Tribolium castaneum: one gene and its partners. Each later gene encodes a partner of the first gene's protein in a complex. Links are inferred from orthologs where the notes say so. Each region holds a gene or a part of one and is shown in the gene's direction. Other genes may lie near its edges. The genes, in order: Nipped-A, Ing3, Brd8, pont, Eaf6, Taf5 and Tip60.

Region 1 (3,500 bases):
TGTTTTTCTTGACTTTATAGGATGTTTAATTTTTTTTTTCAAACTTAAAATAACTAAAATAAATGCAAATGTTGGTAATAATTATATTTCTGGCTTGAAAAACCTCATAAATCTTTCGAAAAGCTGATATTTTAAGTAATTTTTTTCGATTGGTCGAAAATGATGTCACGAACTTTTTAGTACTTTCCCGATATTGTGAGTCATAGGAGCCTTTGTGTACTTTTCCTATTTAAATAAACTACTAATTTATAAAGACTTTATTATTTATTCTTGTTTCATAATGTTTTTCTTGACTTTATAGGATGTTTATTTTTTTTTCAAACTTAAAATAACTAAAATAAATGCAAATGTTGCTAATAATTATATTTCTGGCTTGAAAAGCCTCATAAAACTTTCGAAAAGCTGATATTTTAAGTAATTTTTTTTTGATTGGACGAAAATGACGTCACGAACTTTTTAGTACTTTCCCGATATTGTGAGTCATACGAGCCTTTATGTACTTTTCCTATTCAGAAAAACTACGAATTTGTAAAGACTTTATTATTTATTTGTCTTTCATAATGTTTTTTTTGACTTTGTAGAATGTTTAGTTTTTTTTTCAAACTTAAAATAACTATAAAAAATGCAAATGTTGGTAATAATTATATTTCTAGCTTGAAAAACCTCATAAAACTTTCGAAAAGAAGATATTTTAAGTATTTTTTTTTCGATTGGGCGATAATGATGTCATGACTTTTTAGTACTTTCCGAATATTGTGACTGATACGAGCCTTTAGGATTTTTTTCCATTTAGATAAACTAAAATTTATGAAGACTTTATTATTATTTTTGTTTCATAATGTTTTTCTTCAAACTAAAAAAAATAAAAAAATAATCTTTTTCTTAACTTTGTAGAAGTAACTTCTTAAACGCTACTAAATTAGTTTGTAACTAGAATTTGGCAGAGATTGTTATAGTTTCGTTCCTCTTAGGTTGGTAGAATGTTCCCTCAGGCTGTGTACTTCCCCATCCGTACGTTATACCTAACTTTACGTACGGCAACAGCGCGTAAAACAAACACAGTCCAACAACAACCCCAAGACCAAACCGACACTCAAAATAACCAACAAGAGAGTGGCAACACTGCCACAATCACAACCAGCGAAACATCTTCAATCAAAGCAACACCTGCTATGATCCGCTGTTCAAAAATAATGAAAATGCAACGTGATATTCACACCACGGCACTGTCAAGTCTCGAAGGAATTGCCAATCAAATGGAGTGGTTTAGAGAGAATTGGTACGAAGAGGTTTTGAGACAGTTAAGGCAGGGTTTGACTAAATGTTACGCGATTGCGTTCGAGAATCGTGAAAGTGTAAATGAGGCTAAAATAACACCACATATACTTAATTTTGTGAAAAAGTTAATGTCGACGTTTGGCATTGGTGTTGAGAATATTGGTTCGGTGGTTACGTTTAATTCGGCAGCTAGTGAAAGTCTGGCCAGGAGAGCCGAAGCTACGTATCAGGATCCGGTGTTTAAGGAGATGAAGCAGGATTTTACCAAGGATTTTGATTTTTCGCAAACGAATTCGATGCGCTTGCATACGTTGATTTTTAAGCTGAAGAAGTGGATCAAGATTTTGGATAATCGTTCCAAGATGTTGTTACAGTAAGTACATTTTTTGGAAAAAAATATGTTTTGTCAAAATTTTGTGGTCTACCTTGTAGTTACGCTCACTCGTTTTGGCAAACATCATGATTGTTAAACAAAGTCGGTCGTCTTGAATAACTTTTATTTTAAAAACATGTTTTATTATGAAACACTTAAAAATATTAACTTGTCTTGTATTTCTTTAACAAAAACAAATAAGACAACAAAATATTTCAAAAAATAAAACAGGTAGGTAATTATTTGTCATTTATCCTAAAATGTAAAATTGTATCACACATTGTGTTGAGGAAAATTTTCTTGCACAATTATCTAACAAAAATATTTCTTTTACAAAACTTATCGCTTATCATAAGTCATATTTCACCAGAAGTAAAAAACAATCTAATATATTACCACACGCGTTTTTTCAACTTGACAGCCGCTTTATTGATATTTACATGATGACATGTATTTTGCAAGCGTAATTGCTTATAAATTAATTGAGATTATGTCATTTATCAGTTGGATTTTCTCATAAAAGGGGGAAAACAATTAGAAACTAATTCTGGGGAATTTGTAAAAAAATTTGTAAAAATAAATTGTAAACAAGAAAGGAAACACAGAAGAAGAAGAATGAAGCAAGATGGATAAAATAATAATTAAAATAAAATAATTTAAATTGTTTTTTAGGACAGGTAGGTAACATTAAAAGGGTTATTATAAGGTATAAAAAATCTACATTTTTGTAGCAAATTTACGAAAGCATAATATTTTAATCAAATTAACACTGGAAACGTTAATAAAATTTCGATCAACTGTGCAGCAAAAATTGAAGCTGTTAAATTTATTTTCTATGATAATTTGTAATTAAAATTCTTTGTAAAGCTTTTTAATAGCTTTTATTTTGTTTTGTTGTCAGTTTCATATTTTCTGAGTCAAGCTTTAAAGGGTTTTTATTGTCCGAATGAACTGTAATTTTGCATACTTACGTAATTTCCGTGACAATGCAATACTAATTAGTTCGTCACTCAAAAAGGAGGTTAACTTTTCAATTTTCGAAATACGGTTCAAAAAGGTGTAGAAGTAATTGTAAAAAATCTAACAGTTGAATTATTATTATTATTATTTTTAAAATACTTTATTTTTTTACCCAAAAACCTATATAAAAAAGATATTTGGAAGCTACCAAAGAGTAGCTTGAGCCCGTTATGTCAATGTAGAGTTAAATAAAAACTTAAGATTAAACTTAAAAAAACATATTTTGAACTTCAAAATAACCTGACTCTTGAGTTAACTTAGACTTTTCTAAGTTTTCAGGCCTGACCTGACTTGACTGTTGAGTTTACTTAGACTTTTTTTAAGTTTTTAGACCTGACCTGACCTAAAAATTGAGTTTACTTAGACTTTTTCTAAGTTTTCAGACCTGACCTGACTTGACAGTTGAGTTTACTTAGACTTTTTTTAAGTTTTTAGACCTGACCTAACCTGAAAATTGAGTTTACTTTGACTTTTTGTAAGTTTTCAGACCTGACTTGACCTGACTGTTGACTTAACTTAGACTTTTTCTAAGTTTTCAGACCTGACCTGACTTGACTGTTGAGTTTACTTAGACTTTTTTTAAGTTTTTAGACCTGACCTAACCTGAAAATTGAGTTTACTTAGACTTTTTTTACGTTTTCAGACCTGACTTGACCTGACTGTTGAGTTAACTTAGACTTTTTCTAAGTTTTCAGACCTGACCTGACTGTTGCGTTAACTTAGACTTTTTTTAAGTTTTCAGACCTGACCTGACCTGACTGTTGAGTTAGTTTAGACTTTTTCTAAGTTTCCAGTCCTGACCTGACCTGACTGTTGAGTTACCTTAGAC
Region 2 (3,895 bases), on another chromosome or scaffold:
CAGAATATAACGCACACAGATATAAGGTAAAAGCAGAAGCTTCAGGCTTGGTTTACTCCCGTTAGGTTTTTTCAGCGAAACCGAAAACTGATACCAAACCCCTCCCCATGAATCCGTTCAATTATATCAACCTTCGAAAGTTACGGGCAGACGCTGAGCGGTTACAAATGATTGATAAGGAGAATAAGCAGCTCCTTAAGTCCATAAATACGATAAATAGGACCATCGTAAGATTTTGATTTTAATTGTCTTGAAGTGAATTTTTAACGTAGGGAAAAATTGATTCGTATAATCCTGAAGCCTATGCGTCTAAATCGAAATGGCACGCTCACGTTATGAGGATGAAGAGAATTGACCGCAAAAATAAAGCAATATACGAGAAACTGATGGCTGCAGTAAGCCCAAAAAATTAGTTTCTTTATTTAACAGTTAACAGACTTCCAGTTACGATTGTGAGTCGTTACGTAAATTCTGGACCAGTATTATTGAAAAATTGAAACTAACTTCCAAATTCCCTTTGGTCATCCTTCAGAAAGTCTCAGTCGATTCAGTTATTGCAAAACAGCCGTCAATTAGTTGCGGACTTGAGAAATTATCAGAACGGCCCCGGTATAATTAAAAAAATCAAACAATGACTTAATTAATTGACCCCGAAGGTGTTTTTTGGAATTTCAAGTGCTAAATGGCCCAGTTCTGGGCCGCGTAGAGATCGAGCTTTATCACGACCACGTCCCTGTCACAGTCCAGAATTTCTTATCAATTTGCTGCGGTGAGAACAAACAGAACCTTTCGTATAAAAACTGCCCAATCAATCGAATAGTTCCGGGCCGTTTTTTGGAAACTGGGGACATAACTAAAGGGACAGGACGTGGTGGGGTGTCAATCTATGGTAAATACTTTGCAGAGGAAGGCCACATGCTTAAGCACACGAAACCTGGTACAAAACCCGAATTTAGTTTACGAAAAATTCCTGAGTGTTGTTTCAGGAGTTTTGTCCATGGTGCGTGTCCGCAAACACGATAACAACTCGCGCTTTTGTATCACCTTCACGAAAATGGAACAGTTGGATATGCAGAACGTTGTGTTCGGTTATATTGTGCGAGGGGCTGAGAATTTGTTTAAAATTGAGGGGTATGGCCGCAGTATCGGCAAGCCTTTAGCCCCTGTAATCATCTCGGACTGTGGGAAATTGAATCGGGCGCTTGAGTGTTAGTGGTTTTCGGGGCGTCATGTTGTCGTTTGGAATTAAAAATGGCAGTTTCCTTCCATCAAATTGTGTGAAGTTTGCAGTTTCGGGTTTATATCAGGAAATAAAGTCGTAATTAAACACGTATTTACTTTATTATTTATTATTCCGTACCACATTAATACAGCAAAATGTTGTATCTGGAAGATTACTTGGAAAGTAAGTAAATCAGTTACTTTGGCGTGGCATTGACGGAAACGCCAATTGTCAATGTGGCGCTCAATTCGAATTTTTAGTGATCGAGCACCTACCTCAGGAATTACGGGACAGGTTTACAGAAATGCGAGAGTTAGACTTAACAGTGCAAAGTAAGAGTTTGATAGTTAGAGTTGATTAAATAAATTATTAATTGTAGATAACATGGATGAGTTAGAAAAGCGGGTGAAAATTTTTTTCAATGATTGTAAGCGCTATCCCGGTGAATTACCGCCTGCCATTCAAGTCGAGTTCGAAGCTGTGAAAAAAGAGTACAAAAAGACGCTCGAGGACGCAGATGAGAAGGTAGTTGTGGGGTTGTGTGACCACTTAATGATAATTTGAATCAAAGGTGCACCTCGCTAATCAAATGTTTGAACTAGTTGATAAATACCTGCGCCGGCTTGACACAGAACTACATAAATTTAAATGCGAACTAGAGGCAGACAATAAGGGCATAACTGAAGTTCTAGAAAAGCGGTCACTGGAGTTAGACACTCCAGTTAATTCAACAAATTCATCCCAACAACAAAAAGAAAATAGATACGAAAGGTGGTTTTCATTTATGGGAACGTAATCTTTGTTAGTGCTAATGTAGTTCTAGCAGCTTTAGATATCGACAAAGAAGCGAAAAAAGACGGGATAGTAGTAACTCTTTGCAGACCTCATTTGCCGAAAAAAGACAAGCTGTTGCCCCCATACCTCTCGTCGAGACCCGGCATAGTTCAATAGGCCAATCAACGCCCCCAGCTCAGTCTAACGTTACTTATAATTTGGGGCACATAGGCGCGGGGCCTGCCATTGCGGCTGCGGCCTCACAGGCCATCGCTGCCACTCAACAGGTAAAAAATCACTAATTTTATACCATTTTTCGCCTAGAAAATTGTCAAAAATAATCCATTCAATCAGTGGTGGCTGTTAGGACACGAGCCGGGGCGAGTGTCGTATTAATAGCCATTGAGTGCGACCTACATACACTATTTTTTCTACGACCTTGATATTTTATACTATACTGTTTGATCAGATGCAACAAGGCAGGAGGACAGCAAGTCTTAAGGCCTCGTATGAGGCGATAAATACAGGAAGCCATGGTCATGAGTTTAGTATCGGGCGCGAGTTGGCTGGGGCGGCGCAAACGGCCATTCAAGCCATCCAACAGGACCATGCCAATAACAAGAAGAAGCAAAAGTAACGATTTTTCCCATTTTTTTTGGTTAAATTTAATTTTGAATTATAGGAAATGGTCAGGTGGTAGTGCTAGCGCACCTTCGGCGTCAACAACAGTTCAACAAATATTAAATGCTCCGCTTGCTAGTGCCGCCCCTGAATCACCGTCAATAGATGTGTCTTCACAAAGCGCGGAAGTAACAGATGGGGAGTGGACTTATGACCCCAACGAGCCTAGATATTGTCTCTGTAATCAGGTTTCTTACGGAGATATGGTCGCTTGTGATAATGAAGACGTAGGTTCTGTGAAATGTTTCTGGGTGTGTTTTATTATTGTTGTTTTAGTGTCCAACTGAATGGTTTCATTACCCATGTGTTGGTATTACTGCACCGCCAAAAGGCAAGTGGTATTGTCCACAGTGTTTAGCGTCAATGAAACGTAGAGGGAGCCGAAAAAATTGAATGTGTTGATAGAGAGTTTAAAAAGGCTTGTAACAATTTCTCGGAGGCGGGAGAAAAGAATCAGAAATGAGTGAGCTTGTGCAGGAGAAAATGTTAGGGAAATTCGAGATTATTTAATCTGTTTTTTCCACAGAAACGGAATAGTTGTAAAAATAAAAGTATTCAACTGTCATTGTGTTTTTATTGTGATTAATGATTTCCTATTTAATATTAAGATCTTGTGTAATTATGAAAATGTAATATTTATGTATGCTCAACTTTTTACTCTTAAATAGTATTGTAAACCGATTTATTACGCTTATAAATTATAAAACTTGAACAAGAACAGAGTTTTATTTGACACATTTCCTACCCTATCCTTTTTAAGACGTTTAATTAACTTTACTGGACATTGATAACTGAATAAACTAATCACACAGATAATAAGTACATATAAGCAAGGATCAAAATCTGAATTCCAGTCTAATGTAAAACAAAATAAAGCAACAAGAGCGTAAACACATTAGATATTATAATTTTGATACATGAAAATTAATGGAATCGGTAGTTTAACCCACTTGAAAAGGGAACCAGCTCAATATTCGAATTTTACGGTAAATAATTTAAATATTACATTGCGAAATATGTATGTACATTTCCATGCACAGCGACCATTTGCACCGAGTTTTACACACATTACCTAATATTTCCTTGTAAAAATAATAATTAATTAAAAACGCACCTAAAATCTAATGAAGGTAACGAGTAGTAACGAAAATATCAGCCTGAATGCAAGCGAAATTGCATGCCGTGAAACGGTCGGATTTGTAAAAACCCTCCACCTTC
Region 3 (4,017 bases), on another chromosome or scaffold:
TAATGAATATCAATTATATCATATAATTTATGTTAAAATAGGTTTCACAAATTCTTGCCATGATGAATCCTAGCCTAGACTGAAATTATAAATATTGCTTTGTTACGTAATGAGAGTAGAGTATATGAAGTGTTTTAGTTGTAAAGGATGTAGTTACACACACTTTAGGGGTTAAAACTGCAATTCTGTAACGAAGTCTGTTATATTTTTACCGAAAGTGCTCATGCTGTTATCAAATTAGGTGACGTAACTTTGGGAAATGCTTTTGACGATGAGAGCGATTTTAACAAAATCATTTCTTATTCACAAAATTACGATTTGTTGAAAATTTCCTTCACAGTCATATTCACCTTATAAGTAGGGATTTTTTTCAGAATCATGTAAATAAATGTAGAAAAGTGCCTATTTTAAATTGCGCATCGCTACCCTCTTGGTCAACTATTAGAGTAATCTCAAATTATTTAATGTTTTAACTGTTGTTATAATTTGGTTTATAATTGAATAAAGCTGCATTTTTACAGTTTGCCCGCATTTCCTTCAACACACAAAAACATTTCAAACAAATTTATTCAACTACTATGTTACAAAGTAAACTATCATAGCGTGAAACACAGTAAGAGGACCGCAAATCCCAGACGCTCATACTGATTCATGATTATTGCAGCAACGCCAAAACGAAAAGCCGCTTTCATAACTCTTGCATTCCAAAACATTATTATCAGACGCAGCCAAGTTGAGGAAGGTCTTGTCACACTTGTCTCAAACGCTGGTGCATTCACCGGCTTGTCGTTTTTTCCACCACTTTTATGAAACACTCCATATTTGTCGATGTAATAACTGATTCGCCCTTCGGGGGCCATTCTGAATACTGTTTCCACCTTTTTTTTTTTTTTCAAAGAGTATCCTTACATTTGATTGTTATGTATACACTCACAACTTCTTTTTTTACTTCACTTTGGGACACTGGGTGGAGCTACCACCAGAAACAGCTTCCAAAGCATTCGAAAAAAACATTTTTTATTGCATTCCATTCGCAAGAAAGTGAGGTTAAAAATTTGACAACTTGCCACTAAAGTAGCTACCGCGCAAGCTACCGAAATACTTAATAACAGAATATGCCATAAAATTCGACAAATACAAAAAGGTGGCCACAATCTATATGTATTTGATAACATTAAACCAGCTACACCCAAAATACACTAATTAATTAAAAAACAGTCATTAAATTAATACTTTTCGATCATAAAAGCCCTCGTCAAAAATCACGGTCTGTACGTAATATCTAATAATGTCTGCGTATGAAATTTTCAAGATTATTAATTTTTATGAATAATAAGATCTTACGAAATTATTTAGACAAGTGTGCTTGAAACATTACATAATCTTACACTGATTGTGGTTGACTTTCTTTAAAAATCAGGCAAAACTTCTGCATAGTTTGTCCAGGTTTGACACTTTGACAGTTGACAAATATAAACAACGTTCAAGCTTGTTATAACGATAATTCTTGTGTGCGAATTTCTACTTCAAGAATGTTTATTCAGTGATACTATTAGTCACTTTCCTGGCAAGGTTCTTGTATTTGATTTTTGGACGTTCGGGCCAACATAACCTCAAAATGAGTTCAATTGAAGAACGTTTACAAATAAAGCGTGAACCGCTGGATAAATGGTCAATCCGTGAACAGTTGGCTCTAGCAGTGGCTCGTAACATGGACCAGAATTTAACAAGTGTGAGCCGAGCTTTAAAACCCTTTGGTGAACCCAACAGACCCCCTGATTGGTTCCACCAGAAGAACTGTGCAGCCCAGTATGGGGCTCTTTTAGCGAATGTTGAAACACCTAAGAGGAAGAAAAGAACGTCTGGGGGCGAAGTCACTATCGAAACCCCCGCCGAAGTCATTCTACGCAAACTTTTGGCCGAGAGACAAGCTGAGCTCAAGAGACTACTAGCGGAAGAAAAAGCAGAATATCAGAAATTGCAGAGAGATAAAGCTCTGCTTCAGTCAGGTATTCACAATTAAATTAAAGTTGTTTGAAGTTACAGGGGCTATATTAGAGCCTCTCAAACTTAAGACTGTTGCGGAAATTCGGTTAAGTATTTTTTGATAATTAATTGTTTTATTTAAAGGTAACGTAAGTGAAGAACAACTGGATATTTGGTGTAAGGAAATAGATGAAGAGGAACACAGGAAGGAACAAGAAGCCCTGGCACACGAACAGTGGCTAAAGGAGAGGGAGTTACGAAAACAGGAAATAGAAAGAGCGTGGAGACCAGTTAAGCCATCCCCGGTGATTGGTCAAAAACGTAAAAATTCCGAAGCTATGGACACAATCCCAGAGATGGAAAATACAACAGAAGAACAGAAAATCCTAGTGCAGGAGCCCCCTAAACCGGCCCTATCGCCACTTCTGACAAGTCTTCTGAAATCACCATCACAAGTTCCAAACGTTACAACTTCCTCAATATTGCATTCAGCGATTACCAACCAACGGCCAACCAACACAACTACTAGCCCCATGATTGCCAGTCTTTTAAGCTCCTCAACTGGAGAAACAGTTTCTCCAGGATTGCAACTTTTGGTTAGTACAGCTATAGGACAAGAGCCAACCGGAGAAGAAACCCAACAACAGAATGTCAATACTAACGATATCCTCGATGATGCCAATCTACAAATTTTGAAAATTGATGACTTGGCGAGCAGTATCTTGATCCAGAATGGCCCACTTCCAGAAATAAAGAATGACGTTGATGTTATCATCTCCGATTTGATTGAGAACGCGCAGGATATAGTTGCAGATCCGGAACAGCATCTACAACTGGATGGAAACGGTGATCTTAATCTAAATTTGGAACTGGAAGATTTCGAAGAGAGTGAAACTGATATGAAGGACGAAACCAAAGAAACAGAAAAACGGACGGAAACTACAACACCGGCAATAGATCCGTTTGAGTTCCAAGAAGATCCGGAAGTTTTTGAACCCGCTAAACCTGCAACAGCCGTGAAAACAGACGCTTCTAAAACTATGGTAGCACAGGACAGCGACGATCGGTCACAAACTACTGACGAAGCCCCAAATTCAGACAATAAACACTTAACTTCAAATGGCGAAGAATCTCGGGATGAACTGGTAGAAGTAAAAAACGAACCAACTGATGATTCCGATAAGAAAGATAAAAGCACAACTCCTGGATCCGTCGAAATTGTAGAAGTTGTAGTTATGGATGATGAGGATACTGACAAGGAAGTCAATAAAACTGAAGATCCAGCCCATTCCGTTAAAGCGGAACCAAAGAAAGAAACAGCAGGGGAAAGTACAGAAGTTGCGGAAATAAAATCAGAAACAGACGCCAAAGTTTCAGAAAATGAAAAATCTAGTGTAGAGATTGAGAAGAAAGACGAAAGGAAACTGGACGAGTCAACCACATTGACTTCCGACTATAACGAGGAATTGTACGACGATATCAATATGGAAGTGAAAGTGGACAAGACCGGGAAAGCAAAGCGCGATTATTCCAGGACGAAGAAGAAGGACGATAAAGAATTTGATGTTCTCTTGGCCATTGAAAAGGCGCAAAGAGACGAAAGTGAGTTGGTTGAAGAGAGTTTCTCTGACCGGGATTACAGCGAACTGGACCGTAAAGACAGCAAATCGCGGATTAAGAGCGAGAATGAAAGATCTAACAGTCCCTGGACGGAGGAGGAAGATGTGTCTACAATACGGACAAGGAGGCGACTTTCAACTCCTGCGACTCCGATTGATTCAGTTCCAGGATCACCAGTTTCCAGTATATATTTTTACGATGATGATCGGGAGTATCGCAATTGGAAGAAGTCTATAATGCTTGTGTATAGTAGATTGGCTGCAAATAAATACGCGTCACTGTTTTCTAAACCGATCACCGATGACCAAGCTCCAGGGTATCACAGTGTGGTGTATAGACCCATGGATTTGTTGACGATTAGAAAGAATATAGAGAATGGGGCTATAAGAACAACGCAGGAGTTTCAAAGAG
Region 4 (4,227 bases), on another chromosome or scaffold:
AATAATCCAGGTCTGTATACAGATATCCAATACAAGGAAACAAAATATTACATAATGGCAATGCGAAGCAATTTATGAAACACGTGTTATTAAAAAAATACCAACTGTAGGGTGAAAGCTGTGTCAACAGCAATATCACAACGGTAAAATATTGGTGGTATTTTTCCTCTTTAGATTCAGACAGATAATGAACCCCTCAAGGTTAATGAATTTTAATTAAATCGGTGACTTTATACAAATATCCAGTCACGATGATAACACGGTAAAAAAGCAAAAATATTTCTACCAAAACCGTTGGCTAAGACGGCATAAATATTTGACGCCTTTACTTAATCACATAAAGTTCAGATTCGGAATGCAATTACATAACCTCTAAGCTTCCTTAACTGAAGTAACCAACAACTCATTGTTCGATTTACCTTTCTATTTTCGTTCCATTATCTATCATCCATAAATCACACACAGATCTAGCCACTAAACTCGCAGCTACAAGGAATAGAAATCCCGCCTCAGGTGAAGTCCATCCTGGGATAATTATTCTAAGTAGGTGATTAAGTTGCTTAAGAAATTGCCTATCAACTTGCGCCTTAATCCTATTTTCTTTCTTCTCAGATATAAAATATTTCACTTCTTCATCCACGGTTTTCCTGACTTTTCTCCTAGAACAAAACCGGAGTCAAACAAGTCTCGAAGTGGGGTCAATTTTCATACCTGTCCAGTTTGTACAAATTTTTTCTTCGTCGTGATATTAAAATCCATAATAAAGCTGTCGATGCTCCAGCGGCTGCAAGAGCATTGTTTCTTGTCACATATTTGCTAAAACTGGGTGCCATTTTACTTCATCTTTTCGCACTTTTCACAAGAAGTATTGAGTGATCGTGACCAAGCAGTTTTCCGATCAATTGTATTTGTTTCCACTCACTCATCCACAAACACTGACACCTAACGTTTAAGCAGACTTTACCAAGTATTTTACTGATTTTACTGAGCTCCAGTCAGCGACTGTCATTGGAGCTTCGACCGATCACATGATTTTGGCCGAACCTGCAAGACAGGGACAGCCGCAATTTGAGAAAGAGACAACAAACACGCCAAATACTCACCTGTGGAATGCATTAACCGATCGTTAAAATCGAAAGGATTCATTAAAGGAAAATTAGAAAGTTTTCCATTTTGTGATAATTGACAAATGGCCGTTCTGTCATGTTGAGCTGACATGCCATTTCTCAGGTGTCTCAGGTGACTCGATCAATGTAAAATTAAATTCGCAATTTCTTTAAAATTTGACTAGGTCATAGTATTATAATGAAACATTTCAAAAATCACTTTGTGACTGCTGAGTTCGAACAGAATATTAAAAACGATTTTTTAATCAAAAATGAATTTGAAATGGTCACTATGACCACCCCAACGCTCCAAAATTCTCCAACCGGTTGTTGCCATACCAACATCACAACAATAAAACTCAAATTGATCAAGCAAAGTTTGGTTAGCGTGTTTTCCAAAAATGAAGATTGAAGAAGTGAAAAGTACGGTGAAAACGCAACGAATAAGTGCCCACAGCCACATTAAAGGTTTAGGGTTAGATGAGAATGGTTTCGCGTTGCCAACAGCGGCCGGCTTGGTCGGCCAAGAACAGGCTAGGGAGGTTAGGTTTGTCTTTTTTAATCAGAGTTCGGCTAAATTCAGTGGTTTCAGGCCGCAGGGATTGTGGTGGATATGATTAGGAGTAAGAAAATGGCCGGACGGGCTGTGCTTCTAGCGGGTCCCCCTGGGACCGGTAAAACTGCGATAGCTTTGGCCATCGCGCAAGAACTGGGTAATAAGGTGCCCTTTTGCCCCATGGTGGGGTCCGAGGTTTACAGTTCTGAGATTAAGAAGACGGAGGTGTTGATGGAGAATTTCCGGAGGGCCATAGGGCTGCGCATTAGGGAGACTAAGGAGGTTTATGAGGGGGAAGTTACTGAATTGACTCCTGTTGAAACGGAGAATCCTGCTGGAGGTTTTAGTTTTTAGACACTTTGACAATGTTCTATATATTTCTTTTGGTTTTGTAGGGTATGGAAAGACAGTAAGTCATGTAATTATTGGCCTGAAAACTGCAAAAGGTAGCAAACAACTGAAACTCGACCCCAGTATTTATGAAGCCCTTCAGAAGGAAAAAGTCGAAGTAGGTGACGTTATTTATATTGAAGCCAATAGTGGGGCTGTTAAGCGTCAAGGCAGATCTGATGGATATGCGACTGAGTTTGATCTAGAAGCTGAGGAATATGTACCGCTTCCAAAGGGGGAAGTTCACAAAAAGAAGGAGGTGGTTCAAGTATGTATAATCCGCTCTTAATATTTTTGGATAAACGGTAGCTCCGTGTTTTTTTTCAAGTTTCAAGACAAACTGAACAGTACAAATAAATCAACAAAATTTAATCATGTTTTTGAAAAATTGCTAAATTACTCACACATACATTATTTTTGTCTTAAGACAATTTTACACTTGTGACAGTTATTTTTAAGAGATTGGTGTTGTCACGTAAAGTTGTTGCAGAAATAATTAAATATGGTCAAAAAGCCCATTGTTTTTGACGTTTGTGGAGTATTAGCAATTTTTTTATCCAGAAACGCAATTATACAGGGTGTTTCATATAATTTAAATGCCACCAACATTACATTTTCTCTGGATTGTTCACCCTTTTAAAATTTATTACGGTTTTAGGTAGTTGATTTTTTTAGTATTTTTTTAGTTTTCGCTTAATCTAGCAAAATTATATTAATCAATCTTAAGATTACATTATGTTTACGTTTCTCGAGCATTTTGTGGTCAGAAATAATTTTTTTCGAGACGTTTGGTCAAAATTTCACATTATGTGAAAAACCTTGTTTTTGCCATTTTTGAGTTTTACCAAATTGTTTTCAAAGGAAACACAATAATTTCAATACATCACCGCATTGTGTTATACAGCGTGATTCAAAAGTGACGAATAAACGCTCGTATAGTAAAAAACGAAGTTTAGTTAAGCACAAAAATGAACTCAAATTTTTTTAAGCAAAGTAATTTTGATATATTTTTAAACTGTTTTCCTTAGGTATCCATTTTTGCTATTTTGTTTGCTATGATATCGAATTTCGTTTCCGCTAACTAAAGTCAAAAAAAATATCATCTGATGCACCAATAATTTAACTTAAAAATTTAACTTTGAAGAGCTATATCTCGTGAAAAAAGACTCAAACACTTTTTTGTCATAGGAACTTTTAATTCAGTTTGATGTCTTTTATCAGCACCCCAGAGATTGTCCCCTGCCTTTGAATCACACTGTATTTAAAACTGTTCCAAAAGTAAAAAATCTGATTATTTTATCTTTTTTTTTTTTTCAACTAGAAACTCATTTTTTCCCGGAAATTAAATTTAAAAATAAGCCGAAAAAAAAGCACTTTACATTGTGAATGTGCTATACATTTGCCTTTTTAAGTGCTTAAGTACTGTGCTAGTTTTTTTTTCTTTGGAACTGGTCCAAACTATGGTAAAAAATTGTAGTCTAAATAAATAATATTCTTCAGCTTTTTTAATTACACTAATCAGCGTTTTCAAAAAAAGTAATAATAAAGCTTACTCTAATTATAAACTTAAATGATCACAATGTACTTTTTAAGGCTAAAAACTTAGTTGCTTTCGCTAGACAAGCAGAAAACGACAAATGTTTTTCGAGAAATTTCGTCTGCATCAAACTATGTTAAACGTCTTTAGCAAAATTTTAGTCAGAAACTCAATTAAAAAAACTCTACATTACGTTAAAGAATGTGTTTTATTTTAGCATTTTTTTGACTTAAAGACTCGCATAAAAGTTAATAACTAAGTCAAAAAAAATTTATTTTGATTTTGTAGGCAAAAAAGCAATTATTTGAAAGAATCTTGTCAAAAATACGCCGAATAAACCCACTTTAATTTGAGGATGGTGATATATTTTTCTTTTTTTGAGGATTTAACTACTTTTTTGTTAAAAATCCCGTTGTTTTTCGAGATTTAGATTAGGTAATCAATGACATTATGTGTCCCATTTTATTTATGGACATTTTAGATAGGTTTTTCTAGTCAAGGCATTGTAATTATGTCGCGAAATTTCGTCAAAAATAAGTGGAAGAAATACTGAAATGAAAGAAATATATAAACAAGGTAATTTGGCCTCTTTCAAGCTTTCAAAACATATTTTCGATTTAAAAACTCAATTATTGCGA
Region 5 (3,993 bases), on another chromosome or scaffold:
TCTTGATTCGTTAAAAAAAGTAAAATATTCCAAAATTGCACAGTTGATTGCCTAATCTCAGACAAATAATACAGGATGTTTCACATAATTTTACGCGACCTGCGCCTCTAAAATGCCACCTACAACACATATTCCGATATACGAACTCGATTACAAATTTTGAAAAACTGGATTGTTTTTTCTTGTTTGTTCACTCCTTCAAAAAATTACGTTTTTAGTCAATTAGTGATTAAGATAAACAGATTACTGTCACGGGTTTCCACAAAATAAATAATCAAATGTGAATTTTTTGTATCTAGTGTTTTGTGACTCTTGAATATTTGGGTGCGTATGTATACATTTGGCGCAGGCCTCGTAAAGTTATGTGAGACACCCTGTATAATTATAATTACTATGGTTATCTAAACAATCAACGGAAAAATAAATTAAATTGAAAGAATTCTTACGATAAATCCATTCCAAAGTAATTCTCTAGATAAATATTTCGCTTCAAAATGCCTTGGAGCAGTTTTGGTTGAGTACTCTTGGTTCAAACCCAAACACCTTTCTATCAATAACGGTTTAACCCCACGTCGTAGAAATATGGACATATTGATAAAATTCAATAAAACTAAAACCATGTGTATCTTAAACATAAACGTGTTAACCTTATGCGAGGGCTTCCAGAACTCGAGACGATGTTTAACGTAATCAAAACAGTTCCCAAACAAGTAAAGAATTTTCTTGAAATTCGACATGTTGCTGTACTTTATTGATAAAAGTTGTTGCCCAAAAGTGCTCTCATTGCGACAGACTGAATTTTTCAGAAGCGCTAAACGCACAATTAGGCCCAACTCAGGTTCAATGGGGGCTATATAACCAGGCTAAAATTACACTTTCAGGCAACCAAACCTTAACAAGGGGGCACTTACGGGTAAGAAACGGCTAGTCTCGTGAAGAATTCGCATAAGGGCTTTGTAGATTTCATTATCAAGGAAAATTGCGTTCATTTGGGTGACTCTCAGTAACTTATCGTTGGACATTTTGCACAAGTTTTAGACAAATTGAGCGTTTGGAATGTTGATTTATTGCAACTATTTGTATTTTTGGCACTATTTGTTGTTTTTTAATTATTTCATAATGATCATAACCTCAGAATTTGTGGAACTTTTCGGGTTGTTATGTTGGCAGCGACGTCACGGGTGACGTATTTGACATTTGGCGAAACGTCAAGTTGTGAGGTGTTTTGTTGGAAATAAACAATTTTTAGTGTAATTACTTGAGGCACTTAGCATAAAACAACGACTTTACAAGTGTAACGTTTCCTTTTATCGTTTTGTGATAATAAGAACAATATGTCGGCCAAAAACAATGTTTCGGTGGATGCCCGCCAAGAGTTAGCAGAACTTGTTAAAAGAAAAGCAGAAATTGCGGTAAGAGTTACTTTATAAATGTTGAAGCTTTGTATTAAGAAATGTTTTTCTGTTTGGCTTAAATTCGCGGTCTTTAACCAATTATAGGAGACGTTAGCAAATCTCGAGCGCCAAATTTACGCGTTTGAAGGTTCCTATTTAGAAGACACTCAGTTGTATGGAAATATAATTCGAGGCTGGGATCGGTATTTATCGAGTAACAAAACAACAAACTCTAAGGCTGATAAAAGAAATAGGAAATTTAAAGAAGCCGAACGTCTGTTTTCTAAATCGTCCATAACCTCAATGGCTGTGAGTTGGGACGAGTTTTGTGTATTTTTTTTGTATTTTAATGAACGTTTTACAGGCGGTTAGTGGAATTGTTGACCAAAATCAGGAGAAAAGTAAGAATAGTTATGAAATAAAAAATCATTCATACGTCTAGTTTTTTTTGTATTCGTTTTGTAGCTTTTTTGTAGTGTTTGTGGTAGTTTTGCTGTGAACTTTCTTCTAGATAGATGTTTTCTCTAGTTTGGTCACTGCCTCTTATATGCACTGGAAAAATGAGAGACATTCCAATAGCTCTGTAAATGTTTTACTCTAAAATTATTCAAATTTTGCAAGCAATGAAACAAAATATTACAATAATTTAGAGTTTATTTTCATTGCTTACAACTCCCACAGGGAGTAAATTGGGAGGCATATTGAACATTTTACATTTAGTTTTACTTATTTATTTGTTTTGTTGTTAGTTGTGTCATAAACCCTACAAAAACAATTCACCAACAGTAAAACTTCTATAATCCGAACGAATTCTATTGCAGCAGGTTCTTCGGATTATCGAATTAACTTTTTTCTCTTACTTTAATTGAATAAAAAAAAATAAGTATTTTTATTTAAAAAATTTCATAGGGACATATACCGAGTAGAACAAACAAATATTTTTTTTACTTATTTATTTTATTGTTATTATTTATCATAAACCTCTAATAAATTCGGACTGATATTTTTTGAATTAACTATTCTCTTATTATTAAAACGAATAAAAAGAAACATTTTTTTTAACTTAGAGTGATCCTGTTAAGAGAATTGTAATTTTATATAAAAACTGTTGTTTGCATTGCAACACTTCGTTCAACAGAAAGTTAATTGACAGGTATTTTATTATTACTAATATTATTATTATCACAAAAGATCATAGAGGAGTCCCTGTCGGGACTATTTTGCTTAAAATTAAAATAAAAATAGTGGTGGTAAATACGGTATTTCAATTCCACCCAAAAAGGTTGTCAGTTCTTGATTTAAATCGCAAGATGTTAGGTGCATTTTTTATGACCATTTTATGTAAAACGAACACTAGGACAATCAAATGTTTATATTTTTATTTATATTTCTATTGTTTAGTTTTTCATAAACCATGCCAAAATAATATACAGTAAAATTTTTATAATGCGCACTAATTACTATTGCAAGAGGTTTTTAGAATTACCAAATTAACTTTTTCCTCTTAATTAAAATGATTAAATAAGCAAAAGTAAGTATTTGTATTAAAAGAAAAACAAATATACCTAGTGAGCCTGTTAAAAGCATGTTTCAATTTTATATGTATAACAGGCAGTTACGTTTAGAGACATTTTGAACATATTATTTAAAATTTAAATTTGATTAAAAAAATCAAGTTTCTATTTTTTAATTTTAGTTGTTTTAATGTTATTGTTTGTTTTATCATAAACTATATAAAAATACACTAAAACCTATTATAATTCGAAATACTTACTATTGCAAGAGGTTCTCCAATCGGATGATCGAATTACATTTTTTGTCTTCATTAAAATGAAATAAACAAAATACTCGTAAGTATTTTTATTAAAAAAACAATCAGAGAATTACATATTTTAATCACTATACAAAAATGTTGTAAACGTTGTTCATCTGGAAGTAAATTGAAAGACATTTTGAACATTTTGAGGAACAACGAATAAAAATATTTTTTACTTCTTTAATTGTATATTTTATCGTTAATTATGTCTGCAAGAACATTACACAGTAAAACCATTTTAGTCAGAATTACTATTACAAGGGGTTTTTCTATGTAACTACAGTAGCGAGGGGTGCTTCTTTTAGTGAGTTTTTCTCAATATTTCAGAAACCATTACAGATAATATTACAATATTTGATACAGTTAATAATCTTTATATTCCCAATCGAATTCGAGAATCTAATGTAATAAGAGCTGTCAGGTTGGCATTATCATAAATAGTATTTTTTTTTAATTAAGGTTGGTGTAATTTTTTACCTAGAAAATTCAATTTCCAAATTTTTCAAGTTGTCTCCAATTTACAAGACGTACAACAACACATTTAGTTATTTTAGACCACCTTTAGAGTAACGAATTAACGATTAACACTAACGTCCAATTTTCAAAAATGTCAAATCTGGTGTTCAAACTGTCAAATACAGAATACAGCCAGTTTCTAAAGTGGTTGAACATGAACTTTTAGGGTGTTACAGTCTTTATCAGAATTTTGACACTGACAGTTGATTATACAAAAAAATTAACTATAGAAATTTTGAGCAGGGGCGTTCCAAACTGGAGGGAAGT
Region 6 (4,064 bases), on another chromosome or scaffold:
TTTGCTTCCTTAGCTGGGACTAAATCGGTCTCGTCGGTTCCCTTCCACTTCATCAGAAACATCAGCTGTCCTGTGGTGTCTGATGCTCCTATGATTTTCTCGGCTTGGTAGCCCCGTTCAAAGCCGACTTTTGATTTACTCTTGGATGAACTATCCTTCCCCTTTTCAGATTTCGACTCAGACTTTCGCTTTTTCTTGGATTTTTCGTCGTCATCGCCTTCTGATTTCTTCTTTTTCTTGGACTTATCCTCGTCGTCAGATGAGTCAGACTTGTTTTTACCATTTTCGTCGTCGGAATCTGCGTCTTTTTTTGAATTCTCTTTCTCGTCCGTGGAATCTGAACGACGGCGAGCTTTCTTCGACTTGGGCTCGCCGTCGGAGTCCTCCGTTTCAACCGCATGCTTCTTGGGCCTGCCTTTTGATTTCTTTTCAGACTTCTCTTCACCGTCCTTGGATTTTTTCTCTTTCTAGGGATACACAATTAAATAGATTTCGGGTCGAAGTGGGCTGGTTTTTGCTTGGCTTATCCAATAAACCCACCTTTTTTTTGTCACTATCCTCGTCCGCACTTTTCGTGGTGGAAGACCTCTTCGCCTTGGCTTTGCGCGACTTTTCAAATTCCGCTATGAGATCGGGACAATCGAGATTGTCTTCGGGTTCCCAAGTATTATCGTCTTCGCTATAACCTTTCCACTTGAGAAAATATTCGACCTTTCCGTTTACGACCCGCCGGTCGATAATTTTCTCAACTGAATATTCCTCCTCGCTCTCGCTGTCTTCTACCTTCTTTTTGCCCATTTCTGCAGTTTTGTTTGCGAATAACCGGTAAAGCGATGCTGACTGCGTACTTCTGGAACAATAAGTATTGCTTGCATTCAACTTCGTTACTAAAATGCTGACTAGTTAAGGTAGTGGATAATAATGCGATTGGAGCCGTTATTTACTTACTTTCAACTCTGGCTCTTAAAAAGCCACCACAAAACACCGCCGAAAAGATCCTTTTAATGGCGCTGGAAATATGGCGGGTGGCGGTTAAGAAAAAAATGGTGCCAACACAATTCAACCAATTAAAAATTGTCCAAAAACGACTCTCAGAGTTTTAAAAAATATAGCCAGGAGTTACAACTCTCATACTGCGCTCTCTGAATGAAGAGAAAATCGGATTGTTGCGAAATAAGCCTAGATTTTTTATAAATCGACGTTGAATGGCAGGCTTTAGGGAAATTTTGCGTTATTGATTGTTGTCATTTGCATTAAAGTGTGGTTAGGGAAACGTCAGTTTGTGTTGTATTTATTATTTTACGAGTTTATAAATGAGCGCCGAAGAAATGGAAAAATCTCAACTTGCAGCCGTTCTGCAAATTTTGAAAAAATACAATTTAAAGGTGAGCTTATGGCGAGTAAGCACAACGTAACATTTTTCATTAGGGCACTGAGGAGCTGCTACGAAAGGAGGCCAATCTCGGTAATAACATAGCTGATGGCCCTTTGCAACAAAATTCAGACGTTAGTAGCGTTCTGACGGGGTACAAGAGTGACGGAGATCCAGAAACCTATGAGGACTCTTACATGGAGTTAAAGCGTTTTGTTGAGGGCTCCCTTGACATTTACAAACACGAATTAGGCATGATTTTATACCCAGTTTTGGTCCACATGTACCTCGAATTGGTTTATAATGGACATACGGAGAAAGCGATAAACTTAATGAAAAAATTTGGCCCCGAACAAGACTCGTACTATCAGGAGGATCTCAGGAAGTTGGCTTTGGTCACAAAACGGGACCATATGAACGGGAACGAATTGACAGACACCTTCAAATCAAACCAGTTTATTATTCGAATGTCGCGTGACACTTTGTCACTTTTAAAACGTCACTTAAACGACAAAAAAGCGTCAGTTTTGCTGAACATCATCCAGGAACATCTCTACTTTGATATGTACGAAGGCGTAGCGAGGAACAAAAGCCAGATTGATGCCACGTCAGGTGCCGTTGGGGGAGAGGCAAAACGACAAGGTTCATTTTCGTTATCATAATTACAATAAACACATCAAAATTCCAGATAATAAAACCAAAGTCTATTACGGCATCCCCAAAGCCCCCGACATTCAGGCACTAGCAGCGCCAGTCGAAGACGAGGACGAAGGCGGCGAACAGGACAATCCGGACAAACCTAAGAAGAAAAAAGCCAAAAAAGACCCACTTTTCTCGAAAAAAACAAAAAATGACCCAAACGCTCCACCGCCTGATAGAATTCCAGTCCCGGACATGAGAGACCACGATAAGTACGAAAAAGTGAAGGCGTACAGAGAGGCCTCAAAGAGAGTTACGTTAGGCCCGGATTACCTCCCTTCAGTTTGTTGTTACACCTTACTTAACGCCAATCACACGTTAGTTGAGTTTATTCAGTGAAAATATTTTCTTTATCGGGGGTTTTTTAGGGTTAATTGTGCTGAAATCACCGAAGATTCGAGTATGCTGGCGGTGGGTTTCAGCGATTCAATTGTTAAAGTCTGGACACTTGTGCCTCAAAAACTGAAGGCTATGAAAAGTGGGGAGCAGCTGGAGGATGTCAATGTTGACGTAGAGGATGTCGTGGTAATGTTACATTTTTTTTTAATAATGAAATCGATAAAGTACATGAAAAAATATATAATCAATCAAAATTAAACGATAAGTAAAACTAAATCAGTAATTTCGATTACAATTTTTTGTTCAGAAAAGACTTTTATTATTACTACAAAAGTAATCACTCATTTTTTTAATACAACATTAAATATATTCAAAGTTAAGTTGAGATTTTAGTTTTCGCCCCCATCAAGTCGATAAAGTAGACACCGACTTAAATTAATCGACTACTTGAATAAATAGCGATAAAAATAGGTCGTTGCCGTGTGGAAACCGTCAACATGTTTAAAATCGCAAAATAAATGACTGGAAGGTGTATCATTTTTATTCATTTAAACAGTGTACTTAAAGAAATCTGCCAAGATAGCAACTTATCTGTCATCTTGGCCAGGTTCCAAAAACTTACATGTTTTCAACATGCAGGTGAGAATGATGGATGAAAGGTCCGGTGAGACTTCCAGATCGCTTTACGGCCATTCAGGGCCTGTTTACTCGGTATCATTTTCCCCAGACAAGACTCTCCTTATCAGTTGTTCGGAAGACACAACAATAAGATTATGGTCGTTGCAAATATGGACTTGTCTGGTGGTCTACAAAGGACACATGTTCCCCGTTTGGGACGTCAAATTCTCTCCCTTGGGCTATTACTTCGCTTCGGCGTCGTACGACCGCACTGCGCGACTTTGGGCCACCGACCATTACCAACCGTTGCGATTATTTGCCGGTCATTTCTCCGACGTCGATGTAAAAATTATCAATTTTTTTTTAATATTTTTTTACAGAAATTATTAATTGTAGTGCGTCCAGTTTCACCCAAATTCCAATTACGTTGCGACCGGTTCCAGCGACCGCCGCGTCTGTTTGTGGGATTGTACGACGGGAAATCATGTCCGACTTATGACTGGGCATAAATCGCCCATAATGTCTTTGGCGTTCAGTGTTTGTGGGCGGTTTTTGGCTTCCGCGGGGGTGGATTGTAAAGTGTTGGTTTGGGACTTGTCCCATGGACACTTGGTTGCAGAACTCACCGGGCATGAGAAGCCCATCCATGCACTTGCTTTCAGCAGATGCGGGAATATTCTAGTTTCAGGAGGGTTGGACTGTTTGCTCAAAGTTTGGGATTTTACCAAACTGACTGAGGAAATCAGCTCGGAGGAAGTAAATGTGTCGCATAATCCCGATGTGAGGATCGGGGATGATTATTTATTGAGGAGTTTTGCGACGAAGAGCTCGCCATTGATCAGCCTTCACTTTACGAGGAGGAATTTGCTATTGGCTGTTAGCATGTTTGATGGTGTTAGCACTTAGTTTATTGTAATGTGTATTATTTACCTTGATAAGAAATAAATTTTTTAACGATTTTTTTGGGGTTTGGTTTATGAATCGCTTGAAATAACACTAAAATGTTAAAATAGAATTCCGAGTTGAAAATAAACAG
Region 7 (3,886 bases), on another chromosome or scaffold:
CAAGTAACAAACTGAATAAATTGAACGAAACGGCACAATACACAATAATTTAAATAAACCGCCTCACCTCACCTCGCTTCGCTTCGCCCCGCCTCCCGGTCCCGCTCCCGATCTGACCCGTGCCGCTGCTCGCTGTCGACTGAAGCGCTCTCGCCGCCTGCGCCGCACACCTAACCTCGGGACACGTCACGGATGTGACGTCACACAAGTCTAAAACAGGTCATTACCAGAAATATTCACTGTCAAAATCCGTCAAATTTAGTAACATTCATACACAGAATTATTCAAAATAGAACAGCATTGATCTAGAAAAATTAATTATGACAAATGTATTTGCCTATAAACGTCTAAAATTATAAAAGTTTCGCATGCAGTCAATGGAAAAATAAAAATGCATATTTTTATTTAAACAGAAACTGGCAATGTGAAATTTTGGTGCGAAAAGTTTTATCACACGAGCCGACAATTCTTTCAGACTAGCCGTGTTATGTGTTATGTTGCTCACAAAACGGACAACAAGGGGGTTATCACGGAGACTCAGCTGTGACGAACGAATTTTATTTTTACATAAAGGTGATTTATTTGTTACCTCAGTCAAATTTTTCAGCGCGATTATTTCAGGCGGCAAAGTGCGCAATTTGTTTTTGTGCAACTGGAGCGACTTCAAGTTGTGCAAATTGGCGATATTTGACGGCAAACTCTCGATTAAGTTATCGCAAAGCACCAAAGCCTGCAGTTGCTTCAGTTGGCCTAGAGTTGAAGGAACTTCCACTAATTGATTGCCACCCATCGACAAGATTTGAAGGCTGCAATCATTATCACGTGTGGTCGTTTTAATCGTCCCCACTTACCAGTTTAATTTCTTTATGTTTTTCGGTATTGTTTTAATTTTATTCCCTCTTAGGTACAGGTACTTTAAATTAGTAAACTCAAACAGTTGTTCGGGAACTGTTCGAAAACATTCCCGCTCAGGTTTAACTCCTGCATGCTCGCACTCTCAGCGAAACTTTTCGGGAGGGATTCGTTACTGAAGCGATTATTTTTCGCAACCAGTGTTGTTAAATGCCAGTACTCGAAAACATCAGGTAAGGTCATAAGGCCGTTGTTGCTGATATGGAGGACTTGGACGTTTGTGACTTTTGACAAGTTTTTGGGGAGCGTTGTGAGTTGGTTGTGGTGCAAAATAATCGACTCTATGTCTTCTCGTTTTGCACAGTCCTTGCCTAGTTCGTCCAAATTTTCTTCGAGTTGTTGCGAATCCAAGAGCAAATAGGCGAAACTCCGTTTGAACTGTGGGCTGCGATTAGGAGAACGCTGCGTTCAAGCGAAGCTAAGGTCAAACGTGTTATCACCAATTTGTGAACAAAGCTTGGTGAGGCGTTAATTTAACAATGAGTCTGAGAATGGAATTGTGTGATTTTATCGAGTGTGCTGGTTTCGGGGGAAACCCCCGAGCAACACCCTACGCCCATGACTAGATAATGATAATTTATTAAATAGTAGACACTTGTGTGTATTGTTTCGGTTCGCCGAATGTGCATATACAGATAAGTCGCATCAAAACATTATTTTGGATAACAATTATGCAATGGAAAAAAATCGTTATGGATATTGCGCATTATGTTTTTTGCGGTAGTTGTGGTGGTGAGGTTTGTTCGGCAATAATTACAATTTTTCCCCCCGAAATTGTGAAAAACAAGCAGAATCGATGAAAGTGGAAATGGAGGAAATCGACGACAGCACAATTTGTGATTCTGTGGTATATTTTCATTAAAAATTGCAAAACCAAAATGTTGACACAACCTCACTTTTAGAATTCGTTAGTGGAAGGATGCAGGCTCCCGGTTCACATGACCGGCACTTCCGACTGGCGTAAGCCCCACTTTGGCACATTTTGCACGTTTTTATGTTTTAAATTGCAGCTTTGGCCGAAATTATCAGTATTAAGGACGTGCAAGGCTCGAAATTGTACTACGTCCATTACGTTGATTGTAAGATTGGACACCCGTTTCGTTCCTTGTGAACTAACTTGGGTTTTAGTTAACAAGCGTTTGGACGAATGGGTGACCGAAGAATCGCTCGACACTCGTAAAGTCCACTTCCCGAGACGTGACGGCGGGAGTAACACTGGAGTCTCAACTCCGAAAAAAATTCACATTGGGGGCGGTGGTGCCATCGGTTCGGTATCAAGGCCCTCGAGCCCTGTGACAGCTGCCTCCGAACTTGTCAACGGCAGTGCTGTCCTAGCAGCAGCGTTGCAAAAACGCATAAATAGGAAACGAAAAGGGCCGTCTCTTGAGAGCGAAGACTCGCAAGATGGGCCCACACAGATGCCCCCAGGGCCGAGGCAGTCTGGGAGCATGGTGTCGCACCATGACGATGTGGTCACCAGGATGAAGAACATCGATATGATCGAGTTAGGGAAACACAGGATAAAGCCGTGGTATTTTGCGCCATATCCGCAAGAAATGGTCAACTTGAGCTGTATATACATCTGCGAGTTTTGCCTCAAGTACCGAAAGAGCAGGAAGTGTCTAGAACGCCACTTGGTCAAATGTAATTTGAGACACCCGCCCGGAAATGAGATTTATCGCAAGGAAAACGTCTCGTTTTTTGAAATTGACGGGCGGAAAAATAAAGTCTACGCCCAGAATTTGTGTTTGTTGGCGAAGCTGTTCCTCGATCATAAAACACTGTATTACGACACGGACCCGTTTTTGTTTTACGTAATGACCATTTTTGATAATAGAGGGTTTCACATTGTTGGCTATTTTTCGAAAGAGAAGGAATCAACGGAAGATTTTAACGTCGCGTGTATTTTAACCATGCCTCCGTATCAGCGAAAGGGTTACGGAAAATTACTAATCGAATTTAGTGAGTTTGAGTGCGAATTTTTGTTGTCGAAATTTCACGAATTGTTTCAGGTTATGAATTATCAAAGTTCGAAGGTAAAACGGGTTCTCCCGAAAAACCTCTCTCCGATTTGGGTTTGCTTTCGTATAGGAGTTACTGGGCACAAGCTATTTTAGAAATCTTAATATCAATGAAGCCAGTGGGTGATAACGAGAAGCCACAAATAACGATCAAGTAAGTATTTTTGATTATTTCTTTATTTTTCGTAATTGTGAAATGTTTGTTCACTTTAAAGTGAAATTTGTGAGTTGACAAGTATTAAAAAAGAAGACGTCATCTCAACTTTACAAAACTTAAACTTAATCAATTATTACAAAGGCCAGTATATTATAACGTTAAATCAGGAAATTATGCAAAGTCACAAAAAAGCCATGGATAGTAGACTTATCCGAATCGACCCCAAGTGTCTGCATTGGACACCTAAAGATTGGGGCAAACGCGCCAAGTGGTAGATCAATAAATGATTTTTTACATTTTCTCTTTTATTAACATATTCCTCTGCCAATCCACACTGTTCCTCCTCACTTAATAATAGTAACACTGCGAACTTGTGTTTTGACGGAGAAACATGGAGAAAACACCGGGTTCAGTAGTACATTTTTTACGAAAATGCATTTTGTTTGTATTTACTGGCACATTTTACGTCCAAGATATTATTAAGTCGAAAGTGGTATTATTTTTGCGTTTACGCATATTTTTTATTTAGAAACTCACTAGTTTCGCAATTGTCAGATTTTACTCTGAAAATCGTCGAATTATTTTTATTAAAGCGAAGTGTGAGTTAAAGTGGACTACTTTTCAAACGTTTTAGTCGTTTTTCATCACCTTGTGAATTTTGAAATCAATGAACTTGCGATTGCAAAACTAATCTTCAATTAATAAAAAAATGAAACGTTTTCCGTTGTTTATTCGTACGTTTTATTGTGTAATATTTTGTTTTGGGTTTGTTTATAATACTGATGGGAGAGGATGT

The links.
Region 2: Nipped-A (region 1) and Ing3 share a complex: the UniProt entries of both Homo sapiens proteins name them as parts of the SWR1-like complex. The link is inferred for Tribolium castaneum from reciprocal best matches to the Homo sapiens genes TRRAP and ING3.
Region 3: Nipped-A (region 1) and Brd8 share a complex: the UniProt entries of both Homo sapiens proteins name them as parts of the SWR1-like complex. The link is inferred for Tribolium castaneum from reciprocal best matches to the Homo sapiens genes TRRAP and BRD8.
Region 4: Nipped-A (region 1) and pont share a complex: the UniProt entries of both Homo sapiens proteins name them as parts of the SWR1-like complex. The link is inferred for Tribolium castaneum from reciprocal best matches to the Homo sapiens genes TRRAP and RUVBL1.
Region 5: Nipped-A (region 1) and Eaf6 share a complex: the UniProt entries of both Homo sapiens proteins name them as parts of the nuA4 histone acetyltransferase complex. The link is inferred for Tribolium castaneum from reciprocal best matches to the Homo sapiens genes TRRAP and MEAF6.
Region 6: Nipped-A (region 1) and Taf5 share a complex: the UniProt entries of both Homo sapiens proteins name them as parts of the TFTC-HAT complex. The link is inferred for Tribolium castaneum from reciprocal best matches to the Homo sapiens genes TRRAP and TAF5.
Region 7: Nipped-A (region 1) and Tip60 share a complex: the UniProt entries of both Homo sapiens proteins name them as parts of the SWR1-like complex. The link is inferred for Tribolium castaneum from reciprocal best matches to the Homo sapiens genes TRRAP and KAT5.

The regions. Positions count from the first base shown.
Region 1 is NC_087401.1:16,678,124-16,681,623, reverse strand, and holds part of Nipped-A (transcription-associated protein 1), read left to right. Parts: intron 1-971; coding exon 972-1,651; intron 1,652-3,500. UniProt on the Homo sapiens protein: Adapter protein, which is found in various multiprotein chromatin complexes with histone acetyltransferase activity (HAT), which gives a specific tag for epigenetic transcription activation.
Region 2 is NC_087397.1:1,048,017-1,051,911, forward strand, and holds Ing3 (inhibitor of growth protein 3), read left to right. Parts: upstream 1-1,263; 5' UTR 1,264-1,377; coding exon 1,378-1,405; intron 1,406-1,482; coding exon 1,483-1,554; intron 1,555-1,601; coding exon 1,602-1,747; intron 1,748-1,793; coding exon 1,794-1,993; intron 1,994-2,039; coding exon 2,040-2,283; intron 2,284-2,465; coding exon 2,466-2,629; intron 2,630-2,678; coding exon 2,679-2,904; intron 2,905-2,953; coding exon 2,954-3,070; 3' UTR 3,071-3,395; downstream 3,396-3,895. Other genes in the region: uncharacterized protein LOC103313454, read left to right, coding at 1-26, 66-227, 273-395, 437-609, 657-937, 987-1,213. UniProt on the Homo sapiens protein: Component of the NuA4 histone acetyltransferase (HAT) complex which is involved in transcriptional activation of select genes principally by acetylation of nucleosomal histones H4 and H2A.
Region 3 is NC_087396.1:10,840,518-10,844,534, forward strand, and holds the start of Brd8 (bromodomain-containing protein 8), read left to right. Parts: upstream 1-1,217; 5' UTR 1,218-1,618; coding exon 1,619-2,009; intron 2,010-2,130; coding exon 2,131-4,017. UniProt on the Homo sapiens protein: May act as a coactivator during transcriptional activation by hormone-activated nuclear receptors (NR). Isoform 2 stimulates transcriptional activation by AR/DHTR, ESR1/NR3A1, RXRA/NR2B1 and THRB/ERBA2.
Region 4 is NC_087395.1:13,831,749-13,835,975, reverse strand, and holds the start of pont (ruvB-like helicase 1), read left to right. Parts: upstream 1-1,427; 5' UTR 1,428-1,507; coding exon 1,508-1,648; intron 1,649-1,698; coding exon 1,699-2,002; intron 2,003-2,057; coding exon 2,058-2,320; intron 2,321-4,227. Other genes in the region: Abcd3 (ATP-binding cassette sub-family D member 3), read right to left, coding at 420-659, 712-833. UniProt on the Homo sapiens protein: Possesses single-stranded DNA-stimulated ATPase and ATP-dependent DNA helicase (3' to 5') activity; hexamerization is thought to be critical for ATP hydrolysis and adjacent subunits in the ring-like structure contribute to the ATPase activity.
Region 5 is NC_087398.1:15,239,154-15,243,146, forward strand, and holds the start of Eaf6 (chromatin modification-related protein MEAF6), read left to right. Parts: upstream 1-1,193; 5' UTR 1,194-1,334; coding exon 1,335-1,412; intron 1,413-1,499; coding exon 1,500-1,703; intron 1,704-1,758; coding exon 1,759-1,795; intron 1,796-3,993. Other genes in the region: peroxisome biogenesis factor 2, read right to left, coding at 447-863, 912-1,022.
Region 6 is NC_087398.1:2,407,342-2,411,405, forward strand, and holds Taf5 (cannonball), read left to right. Parts: upstream 1-1,264; 5' UTR 1,265-1,328; coding exon 1,329-1,385; intron 1,386-1,428; coding exon 1,429-2,014; intron 2,015-2,060; coding exon 2,061-2,388; intron 2,389-2,439; coding exon 2,440-2,596; intron 2,597-3,049; coding exon 3,050-3,370; intron 3,371-3,424; coding exon 3,425-3,934; 3' UTR 3,935-3,987; downstream 3,988-4,064. Other genes in the region: heterochromatin protein 1, read right to left, coding at 1-467, 541-798. UniProt on the Homo sapiens protein: The TFIID basal transcription factor complex plays a major role in the initiation of RNA polymerase II (Pol II)-dependent transcription.
Region 7 is NC_087402.1:5,803,531-5,807,416, forward strand, and holds Tip60 (histone acetyltransferase Tip60), read left to right. Parts: upstream 1-1,313; 5' UTR 1,314-1,708; coding exon 1,709-1,759; intron 1,760-1,814; coding exon 1,815-1,872; intron 1,873-1,922; coding exon 1,923-1,991; intron 1,992-2,040; coding exon 2,041-2,874; intron 2,875-2,924; coding exon 2,925-3,087; intron 3,088-3,148; coding exon 3,149-3,365; 3' UTR 3,366-3,386; downstream 3,387-3,886. UniProt on the Homo sapiens protein: Catalytic subunit of the NuA4 histone acetyltransferase complex, a multiprotein complex involved in transcriptional activation of select genes principally by acetylation of nucleosomal histones H2A and H4.